Saccharomyces cerevisiae S288C: one gene and its partner. Changing the gene in region 2 together with the main gene of any one other region gives a genetic interaction. Each region holds a gene or a part of one and is shown on either strand. Other genes may lie near its edges.

The links. Genes that interact genetically often act in the same process or in processes that back each other up.
Region 1: mutations in IPP1 (region 2) and YNL050C together harm fitness less than expected from each alone (positive genetic interaction), as found in Saccharomyces cerevisiae (one large-scale study listed by BioGRID).

Annotation. Positions count from the first base shown.
Region 1 is NC_001146.8:533,579-538,753, reverse strand, and holds YNL050C (uncharacterized protein), read left to right. Parts: upstream 1-3,771; coding exon 3,772-3,788; intron 3,789-3,879; coding exon 3,880-4,675; downstream 4,676-5,175. Other genes in the region: alpha-1,2-mannosyltransferase ALG11, read right to left, coding at 1-581; COPII subunit SFB2, read left to right, coding at 843-3,473; Golgi transport complex subunit COG5, read right to left, coding at 4,884-5,175.
Region 2 is NC_001134.8:256,612-263,467, reverse strand, and holds IPP1 (inorganic diphosphatase IPP1), read left to right. Parts: upstream 1-5,492; coding exon 5,493-6,356; downstream 6,357-6,856. Other genes in the region: YBR012W-A (gag protein), read right to left, coding at 2,277-3,599; HHT1 (histone H3), read right to left, coding at 6,727-6,856.

The DNA of each region.
Region 1 (5,175 bases), on a different chromosome or scaffold from region 2:
AAAGGGTACCCCATTGTATCAATCCATATATCAGGTGGACACTGAATAATGGATTCAAATGCGAGAATCATTGATCCAATTGCTTGTCCAATCAACGTGAAATGCTTCCATGTTGAAGAATCCACCAAGTATCTTAGCTTCAATGAAATGAAAAATATTCTATCCGAATCCAAGTCGTAATCGAACTTCGCTTTCACATTATTTAGAATATTCTCCGGAGTAACATTCTCTCCATTCACAAAATCCCCTGAATAAATGACAATAACGTTCTTAGCATCTTTTCTCAAAGTGATATCTACAGCTTTCCAGAGCACTTTTTCCCCACCACCACCAGCATTACAATACGGATGAAAAAAACCAAAAACTTTCACATTCTTCTCACCACAGGAGGCAACTGCTCTGTTCAGTAATGAAGATTTTTTGGAGAACGGATTCAAGCTGGAATACACCCATTGACGGAAGATCCACGTGAGAACCTTAATTAGTCCATACACTAGTACTAAAGATGATACAACATATTTTTTGAACCCAAAATGAGACTTAACCTCTTCAAAATTGTAGTTTGTCCAAGCACTGCCCATTTTCGCCTGCAATCACCTGAACATGTTGGTCACACTTGGATACTAACATCTATCTTCACTTCACTTACCTCTCAATCTTATTATTTATTGAACTTTTCACTTTTTGTTTAGCTTACCCGAAGGACATAGATGTAGCGATGACAACGATGAATGATACGTCAGTTAAAAGGGTCTTCGTCGAACTCTTCATCTAACCCTTCATTTGCAGTGTGCTTGGTTGATGAACCTTCTTCCATTAATGATCGACAGCTGCAGTGAATAATGTCTCATCATAAGAAGAGGGTGTACCCTCAAGCTCAGGTGCCATACATTGCAAGTATGCCAATAGTTGCAGAGCAACAGCAGTCTCAACAACAAATCGACCAAACAGCTTATGCAATGGGCAACCTACAATTGAACAATAGGGCTAACTCATTTACACAGCTAGCTCAAAATCAACAGTTTCCTGGTTCTGGGAAAGTGGTCAATCAACTATACCCTGTGGATTTGTTTACAGAATTACCTCCGCCAATCCGTGACCTGTCTTTACCACCTCTTCCAATCACCATTTCTCAGGATAACATTGTGACTCCATCCGAATATTCAAATGTTCCATACCAGTACGTCAGATCTACTTTGAAAGCGGTGCCAAAAACAAACTCTCTGCTGAAGAAAACGAAGTTACCATTTGCCATTGTTATTAGACCATATTTGCATTTGCAAGATTCAGACAACCAAGTACCGCTAAATACTGACGGAGTCATTGTCCGCTGTCGCCGTTGTCGTTCATATATGAACCCTTTTGTCGTTTTCATTAACCAAGGGAGAAAATGGCAATGTAATATATGCCGTTTCAAAAATGATGTCCCATTTGGGTTTGATCAGAACTTACAAGGCGCTCCAATCAACAGATATGAAAGAAACGAAATTAAAAACTCTGTCGTGGATTACTTGGCTCCCGTAGAATATTCTGTTAGGGAACCCCCACCATCTGTTTATGTATTTCTTTTAGATGTTTCTCAAAACGCTGTCAAAAATGGTTTATTGGCTACTTCTGCCAGAACCATTTTAGAAAACATAGAATTTCTACCAAATCATGATGGAAGGACCAGAATTGCTATTATATGTGTTGATCATAGCCTTCATTATTTTTACGTTCCTTTGGATGATGATTATGAAGTATCGGATGAGGATGATGAAGAATCAGATGGTGAAGAAGAAGATGAAGACGAGGAAGAGGAAGACGTTGATAATTCAGAAACAATTCAAATGTTTGATATTGGCGATTTGGATGAACCATTTTTACCAATGCCGAGTGATGAATTAGTAGTTCCACTAAAATATTGTAAAAATAATCTGGAAACATTGTTGAAAAAGATACCTGAAATTTTTCAAGACACACACAGTAGCAAGTTTGCACTTGGACCTGCCCTAAAAGCTGCGTCAAATTTGATAAAAAGCACTGGAGGCAAAGTTGAAGTCATTTCATCAACTTTACCAAATACTGGCATCGGGAAATTGAAAAAAAGAAGTGAACAGGGCATATTAAACACACCAAAAGAAAGCTCTCAGCTACTGTCGTGTAAAGATTCCTTTTATAAAACATTCACAATTGAGTGTAATAAACTACAAATAACAGTGGACATGTTTCTGGCATCAGAGGACTACATGGACGTTGCCACTCTATCTCACCTGGGCCGTTTTTCTGGTGGTCAAACACATTTTTATCCTGGTTTTAATGCCACCAGTTTGAACGATGTTACTAAGTTTACTAGGGAATTATCAAGGCATTTATCCATGGATATTTCAATGGAAGCTGTTATGAGAGTTCGTTGTTCTACTGGCTTGAGGGCCACATCGTTTTTTGGCCATTTTTTTAACAGATCCTCTGATTTATGCGCTTTTTCCACAATGCCTAGAGATCAGTCTTATCTTTTCGGGATATCCATCGAAGACTCATTAATGGCAGAATATTGCTACTTGCAAGTGTCAACATTGTTGACTCTAAACACTGGTGAACGTAGAATTAGAGTCATGACGTTAGCTCTACCAACGTCCGAATCAGCTAGGGAAGTGTTTGCATCCGCAGATCAACTAGCCATTACTGATTTCATGACACAAAACGCGGTGACTAAGGCTTTGAATTCAAGCATGTACTCTGCGAGGGATTTTATCACAAAATCGCTCGAAGATATTTTAAATGCCTACAAAAAAGAAATTTCGATGTCTAATATAAATTCAGTAACCTCACTTAACCTATGCGCAAATTTGAGAATGTTACCTCTATTAATGAATGGACTAAGTAAACATATAGCCCTCAGACCGGGCGTTGTTCCAAGCGATTACCGTGCAAGTGCGTTGAATAGATTGGAAACGGAGCCTCTTCATTATTTGATAAAGAGCATTTACCCTACAGTTTACTCCCTGCACGACATGCCCGACGAAGTCGGTCTACCTGACTTTGAAGGAAAAACGGTTCTTCCTGAACCTATAAATGCCACTATATCTCTTTTCGAAAGATATGGCCTGTATTTAATTGACAATTCCGCAGAATTATTTTTATGGGTTGGCGGAGATGCTGTTCCTGAGTTACTAATAGATGTATTCAATACTGACACCATATCTCAAATTCCTGTGGGGAAAAGTGAACTGCCTCTTTTGAACGATTCGCCTTTCAATGAAAGACTAAGGAGGATAATCGGTAGAATTAGAGAAAACAATGATACAATCACATTTCAATCATTATACATAATAAGAGGACCATCTATTAACGAGCCCGCCAACCTAAACTCCGAAAAAGATATGGCTTCTTTAAGGCTATGGGTATTAAGTACTCTTGTCGAAGACAAAGTTTTAAATTGTGCTAGTTATAGAGAATACTTACAGAGTATGAAGACTAGTATCAACAGATAACAATCAGTCTTTCTTTAATCTTTATCTTTATTAACCGATCATCATGTATAGATTTTGATATACAATACAGATAGAAATAAAAGTAAATCGTGAAAGATTTTGGCCTTTGCGTGTGAGAGTTATGTACTTCAAAAATGCCATTCTGTTCCTACATAAAAAATAAGTATTTTCAAGTCATCGGATCAGTACGAAAAAGAAAAATTTGAAGTACTTAAAATACGACCAGTTTCATTTAAACAGCAATGGAAAAATCTCCTCTAATGAAAAAAAAAGAAAAACATTGAAATTCAGTATAAAAATGTCTGAATTTAAGATGTATGCTTTGACATAAGATACAAGTTTGCCTCTAATTTCATTTTTTTACTAACTTTTCAACGAATCGTTTAATATTCTAATTATTTTGCAGAGTATCAAGAAAAGATCTTTATAATGAAGGAGAGGGATTAGGAGAAGATTATGATTCCAATAGTAGTAGTAAAAATAATAGTGAGCATGTAGAGGTATTAGTACCGCCAACAGAATTTGAATTCGTTGAAGTTGAAAGAACCGACTCATCATTAGATCTCAAAGAAAGTAATAACAGCGCACATGAACAAAAGGAAGAAAAACAAGAAGAATTCGAGTTCCCGTTATTTTCGTTTGGTGTGGTTGAAGCATCGACTAGCCCAGCTCAAGAAGAACAAGGTTCATCAACTCAAGAGAAGGATACGCCACAGACTGAAGTAAGTTTGATGAAAATTTCATTGAAGGAACCTGAAGAAGAAATAATCAACCAAGAAAGGCCCAAAGACTACTACTTTGCAAGCTATTCTGCAGACCAAAAGCTGCAATTCCAACAGAGCTCTATCGACTATGATGTGATAATACAAGAAAGTACAAAAATTCTGGAGGATGATCTACGTATTCGTGATAAATGGCCATATTGCCAGGGTCGAATAATAGATCTGTATAAGCACAATGCGAGAATAGAGTTAGAGCAGCAGAAGGAATTGAAGATTAAAAAGAGGAGACCTGGTCAAAAGCAACGTGCAGCCAAAAAACTGGCACTTGAAAGAACCAAGGAGCGTGATACCAAAGCTCGTGAGATAAAGAAACAGTTGAAGAAAAAGTTTCATAAGCGTGGTGGAAAGAAAAACAAAAAAAAGGTACCTTTGAACCCACTGGCAAAAGCTGGCAGTACCCCTAAGTTTAGGACAGAATGACCACGTAAATGTATATATATACATATTAATACTTCATATAAACTAACCGATATTGGATTTCTCATAATAACTATTACTAGTATAATCTTTAATAATATAAACAAATATTACATTTCATGTAATTTTTATTAAACATATGCACATGCTATTGAAAATTGCTTTAGATTCATCCTATTTCATCAACATTCTTAATTTTATGTAAACTGTCTCACTTATTTAGAGAAATAGATACTGAGTTTAGCATTACATCCAAGTAGCTTTGGTAATCACTATTATCAGAAGATTTTTTCATACTTTGCTTCATAGTGTTTATAATAAAATCTTTATTTTTTAACAGCGACTTGCCCACAGGGCCTCCTCTATTAACAGATATATCAAAGTCCTTTTTGAAGGCAGATGAAACTTTGCTCCAAAACAGATCTCTCGGTGTACCAGAACCTGCTTTACTCTTCATTGAGGTATATTCTGATAAAAGATTGCCAAGGCGTGATTTATTAGCA
Region 2 (6,856 bases):
TAGTATTCCATGTGTCTCGTGATACCTTAATTTCAGTTTCATTATCTTCTAATGATCTTTTCTTACTGTTGATAGTAGTATAGGCATTAGAGTCACCAATACCACCCAAACTGGAATTAGTTTGACGAGAATTGATCGGTGGAAGTTCTTTAAAAGAGTCTGATAATTCGGTAGGAGGTTCTGGAGGCAGATCGGGGAGTGGAAGATCAGCGATAATAGATTCCTCTGTATTTTCCTTAAAACAAGTATCTGACGTTTTGATAGGAACGACATGGTGTAGTGAATTACTTTCTGATGACGGAAGTATCCGATCGGAGGTGAAGCGGTGTATAATCCTTTTCTCAGTCTCCTGTTCGCTTGTCTGCGGAACAGTTTTATTATTGGTACCACCCGTACTGGATATTGGTACGTTTGTATGATTAGTCTCATTGTCACTGTACGAGTCTGAGTGTCTGAAATCTTTAGATTTACTGGCGTACGACGACTCATGTGTGTTAGATTGGGACATGGGAGCAAGTAAAGGAACATCTAATCTATGCATACCACCCGAATCGGTACTCTCGATATCGGAAATTTGGGGGGTGCTAGATCTCTTCTTAGATGGAAGAATATTAGATTCAGATATGTTGGGGTCAACTTCTCTGGGTGCGCGAATATTGGTTTTAGAAACACGTTTCGAATCTTCAGTATGAGTTGACGGGGGTGTGGAATCGGTTGGACTCACAGCTTTTGAAAGGACATTTCTCGGTTGCTCAGGATATAGTTCAATATCAGATTGAAAGTCATGGTCTGATTCTATGTTAAGATCATTGGATTGTTGGATCTCATTTGACGCAATGAACGATTGATATGAAGCAGTTAAACGGTTTAAGTCTTCATCGAAAGTGAGTGCGTCGTAATTGAATTGATCTAATCTGGAGTCCTTGCCCTGAAGAATAACATAGTTAGTTGTATCTACTGTCTTCTTTAAGGATGGAAGATAGATGATATATCCATAAGAGTTTCGAGACGGATGTAGAGCGTAGCCTGGGATGCCACGAGGATGTATTTTGGAGTTAGGGTTGTGATCATTGACGATAACAGGTTGACCGAAAGGTAACAAAGTACTGATATCAAGTCCTGCCAAGCCAGCATGTTGTCTTGCAGATTTTTTGCTTTTAGGTGAAGCTAGTGAATTTCTCACAATAGTAGAAAATTCGATTGCAGAGAACCATAAATGGTTCGGTAAACCACTACATTGCAGTTGAGTACGGCAGTCATCTAATAAGGTACGGTTCAGCCGTTCAGCGACTCCATGTGCTCGGGAATCCGCTGTGGTTGTATAGCATGGAGTTATACCATTTTTTTCAAGGAATTTATGGAGAGTTCTGTTAGTATACTCAGAACCACGGTCCATTTGTATAACCAAGACACTGGCCTGAAACTGGTTTTTAATAAAAGCTAGTATCGTAGTAAAAACATCGAGGATAGAGTCCTCGCGACGGTCGTGTAATGGATAAACCCAACGGAATTTTGTTGTCTCATCAGTAAATGAGATGAAATAGGATGGTGCACTTTTTGGTAGGTTGTGAACTGGACCAAATATGTCAGTATGTAGGTATTGAAAGGGTTCGTATGAATTTTGGTATTTTAGTCGTGAACCTTTGATATGTCTGTGTTTGGTGCTTTTGCCGATTAAACAATCAGGACATTGATAGTCAATAGCACTAGACCAGTCGACATCTGATTCGTTAAAATACGTGATGGTGTTATTTTTAAGTGAGTATCGAATTGTCTGTGCATTGGCATGCGCAAGCATTCGATGAATGAAAGGATAAGGATATTTGCGTGTACTTTCACTTGTATGGACATTATTGATGGTGGGTACGGAGATATTTGATGGAAGCAAGTACTTTTTAGATACCCAGTAAAAGTCTCCATATTTTACGATAGGTGCAAGTACAGTGCCGTCAGATCGTTCTAAGACGTTTTTGGTAAAGCATGCTGTGATATCTACTGCAGCCAATTCATTCAAACTGAGTAAGTCATAGGCTATGTTAGGAGTGTGCAATACCTTTAATGATGTTTTGGTGTTGTCCTGGAAGTGAAATTGTAGGTCACCAATAGCGTTAATTGGTATATTTCTTTTTTGAGCATCAACTACGTTTATGTCAGGATTAGATGATGCTGAGTGTATGTGATGAGCAGATCTTATAAGGGTTCGTGATGCTCCTGAATCGAGAAGGAGGTGTCCAGGGAGTTCATCATCAGAATGATTAGTATGATTTACTGTAGATTCAGTAAGTTTCTGGCCTAAGATGAAGGTCGTGCTTATTGTTCAATTGAATCGGTTCAGTAGTTGATTTACTGATGGAATCGTTGTCCGTGCTGGGAGAGTTATTAGATGTGGATACATTGTGAGCCCTGGCTGTTTTCGATTTCGAATTATTTGTTTTTTGAGGATTCCGAGCTATAACTTTGGGTTTGGTTGTATTCGTATAGCTGCGAGAATCATTCTTCTCATCACTCGGATTTCTCCTGTAATTAGGTTTGCTGTTTCTCGATCCCTGTTGTTCTTCATAAATAGCATGGATATCTAAGAACAGTTCAGCGACTGTCATATTTAGATGTCGATGACGTGTGTAGCGTAAAAATTTATATTCGCCAGATAGACCTCTCATAATTAATTGACATGCGACCTTGTTATTGATATGAATGCCATTATTGTTCAGTCTGTCGATAATGTTTGTGACTTTTGTTTCAAATGCATCTGCAGGTGTACTGCCATTATATTGCAAATTTGCCAGGGTCACAATGTCGTTTGCCTCTTGGGTATCAGATTGCATTTTTTCAATACTTTTGGAAAGAATTTTCATGATATCCGTATAATCAACGGATAGGATGTCTTTGACCCAGGTAGGTAGGAATTGAGAGGGAGCAAATATTTGAAAAGCGTTATACAAGAAGGTGAGTTCATCATCAGTGATCGGACGTACGGGTTTTCCGTTTACTGTCGGAATAATACCACCGAGATTCGAGTTTTGTAAAAATTTGATGTATGTTTTAACCCAATTTGGAAAGTCATTAGGTGAGGTTAACATTGGTGGTGGTCTGACATATTTTTTAGTGGATGTCATATCAGAGTCCGCTGAGGATGAATCAGTAAATGTATTACCTGACTCAGGTGATGGAGTGCTCAGAGGCGTTCCAACTGATGATGGATACTGCGGAAACTGTGATTGTGGCCCAGGTGGAAAGTACATAGGCGACATTTGATAAGGTGTATACGGAATCATAGATGGGTGTCCGTAAAATGACCAACCAGATGGATTGGCTTGGTTTTGGGTCATCATGCACTGCTGTGGGTACGGCCCATTCTGTGGAGGTGGTACTGAAGCAGGTTGAGGAGAGGCATGATGGGGGTTCTCTGGAACAGCTGATGAAGCAGGTGTTGTTGTCTGTTGAGAGTTAGCCTTAGTGGAAGCCTTATCATATTCTTGAATTTTGGAAGCTGAAACGTCTAACGGATCTTGATTTGTGTGGACTTCCTTAGAAGTAACCGAAGCACAGGCGCTACCATGAGATATATGTGGGTAATTAGATAATTGTTGGGATTCCATTGTTGATAAAGGCTATAATATTAGGTATACAGAATATACTAGAAGTTCTCCTCGAGGATATAGGAATCCTCAAAATGGAATCTATATTTCTACATACTAATATTGCGATTATTCCTCATTCCGTTTTATATGTTTCATTATCCTATTACATTATCAATCCTTGCACTTCAGCTTCCTCTAACTTCGATGACAGCTTCTCATAACTTATGTCATCATCTTAACACCGTATATGATAATATATTGATAATATAACTATTAGTTGATAGACGATAGTGGATTTTTATTCCAACAATTACTTTAACATGAATAAGCTCAAAGTAAGCCAGAACAATTACCTACAAAGAAGTGATTTCTATAAATTCGAAAGAAACGGCACTGAATGGGAATATATATTTGCATCAAATTCAGCTTGTCTTGATTATAATAATAATACAGCTGTTAATAATGATATAATTTCGTCACTTAATTATTGCATCAGTGATGACAGATATTATGAAACTGCAGCGATGTGTGTGGTTTTGAAATTATCTCAAGATTGCTCTTTTGATGTGAGGCTTCAACGAAGTGGAAATGGGCCATATAAGAATATCTGGGATATGCCTTGCGGAGAATTACAACAACACATTGGTTACAAAAATGGTATATGCTATAATAGTGAAAACACGGTGTTATCGGCAGTAGGTGTAGAACATCGATATCATAAAAGTGTTTCTCGTCTATAAGATAAATTTGTTGGCGGTTATAGTTCGAAAAAGTGTATTGGACATGTTATAGATCAGAAAAACTTGGATAAAAATTGATAAAAGAAAAATGAACCACAATACCTTTACATAGTATTTTAACTCATTATCCTCGTGAAATATATATATATATATGGATATATATGGAACTTTGTTGGAATGAAATTTTAATATCATCTATTTCGCAGCACTCATGTTACTATTATATCACATGCGGTGTAAGAGGATGGCATAAAGATTGAGAAACAGTCATCCAATCTAATGGAATGCACGACACAATAATGAGTGACAACATATAAAAGGAAGTAAGATACAATAATATTATTATGTATAACTATCGATTTCCTTTTGTGGATTCCTATATCCTCGAAAAGAACTTCTAGTATAATCTGTGTACCTAATATTACAGCCTTTGAAAACAATGGAATCCCAACAATTATCTTATTCCCATAATTCTCATATACAAGATACAAGGGAGAAGTAAACAATGGATACAAGGAGAAATATGGCGCTAAAGGCTGATTTAATTGGATTGTTCGATTCGAAGTCGCTCAATAGAATTTGATGGCTCCCTCAGAGTGCGGTTCAAATCATTCGGATACTTTGAAGAAAGGGTAATATATTGTACCTTTGAACATGAGTTCATGAGTTGAAAAAGGTAAAAATAATCTGCTAAAATGATTACTCTTCTCTAAGAATGTGGTCTTCCCCACCCACGTGATAGTAATACATAGGAACCGTTTTACTGAACGCTACATTACCCATCAATATAATATCATGATTTAGCCGCCGAATTTTATGTAACTAAAAGGTTGCGGGACTTTGAAGCCCAGGTAGAAGTGTTTCATTCACAGAAGGAGATGCCAATGTGCTATTATTATCCCTGTGTGGCGCACTATTCAAACGGATTTGACTGTTCTTCAAAATATCGTCATCGCAGACGCTAAGGTTGTTGGGAGAAGCCACAGTCATTAGATACGATAGTCTCATGATGACTTTTTCTCGTTTTTTTTCGACGTTTTAAGGTCGCGTCGAAGTTAGGAAGGTTAGTTCATTTACAACTTGTTTTTGAATACTTACTTTCTTAATCATCTATTTTGATTTGTTGTCCCTTAGGTCTATAGAACAGGATATCCCGCCGCGCAATTTACTAATGACCTACACTACCAGACAAATTGGTGCCAAGAACACCTTGGAATACAAAGTTTATATCGAAAAGGATGGTAAGCCAGTTTCTGCCTTCCACGACATTCCCTTGTACGCTGACAAGGAAAACAACATTTTCAACATGGTTGTTGAAATTCCACGTTGGACCAACGCCAAGTTAGAAATCACCAAGGAAGAAACTTTGAACCCAATCATCCAAGACACCAAGAAGGGCAAGTTGAGATTTGTTAGAAACTGTTTCCCTCACCATGGTTACATTCACAACTATGGTGCTTTCCCACAAACTTGGGAAGACCCAAACGTAAGCCACCCAGAAACTAAGGCAGTTGGTGACAACGATCCAATTGATGTGTTGGAAATTGGTGAAACTATTGCTTACACTGGTCAAGTCAAGCAAGTTAAGGCTCTAGGTATCATGGCTTTATTGGATGAAGGTGAGACCGATTGGAAAGTTATTGCCATTGATATTAACGATCCATTAGCCCCAAAATTGAACGACATTGAGGATGTTGAGAAATACTTCCCAGGTCTGTTGAGGGCTACTAACGAATGGTTCAGAATTTACAAAATCCCAGATGGTAAGCCAGAAAACCAATTTGCCTTCTCCGGTGAAGCTAAGAACAAGAAGTACGCTTTGGATATCATCAAGGAAACACATGACTCCTGGAAACAATTAATTGCTGGTAAGTCTTCTGACAGCAAGGGTATTGATTTGACCAATGTTACTTTGCCTGACACCCCAACCTACTCCAAGGCTGCCTCTGATGCCATCCCACCAGCTTCTCCAAAGGCAGATGCTCCAATTGACAAGTCTATTGACAAGTGGTTCTTCATCTCCGGTTCTGTTTAAAATATTTTGAATTGAAAATGAGACACCTACCACGTATGCGGCTTCAAGTTGTTTAATATGTAGCTATATATCGATTATATAACTGACTCATGAATGAATATCTTCCTGCTGCAATTTTTCTTTAACCACATGGAAAGCCATAAATCTTGCCTCCTACAAGGCCTGGCTTTTTTCGAGGGTATCGCCAGGAAAAACAAATCAATAAATGTAAAACAAATAGAACCCTATTTTTTTTTATTAAAACCTATATTTTTGTAATAAAAAATAACTATTATACAACTGTTAAAGAACCCAGTAAACCTAAATATATTGATTTATATTTTATTGTGTTTTTGTTCGTTTTTTACTAAAACTGATGACAATCAACAAACTATGATCTTTCACCTCTTAATCTTCTAGCCAACTTGATATCCTTCTTTTGGATAGTGACACGCTTGGCGTGAATGGCAGCCAAGTTGGTATCTTCAAATAAAGAGACTAAGTAGGCTTCGACAGATTCT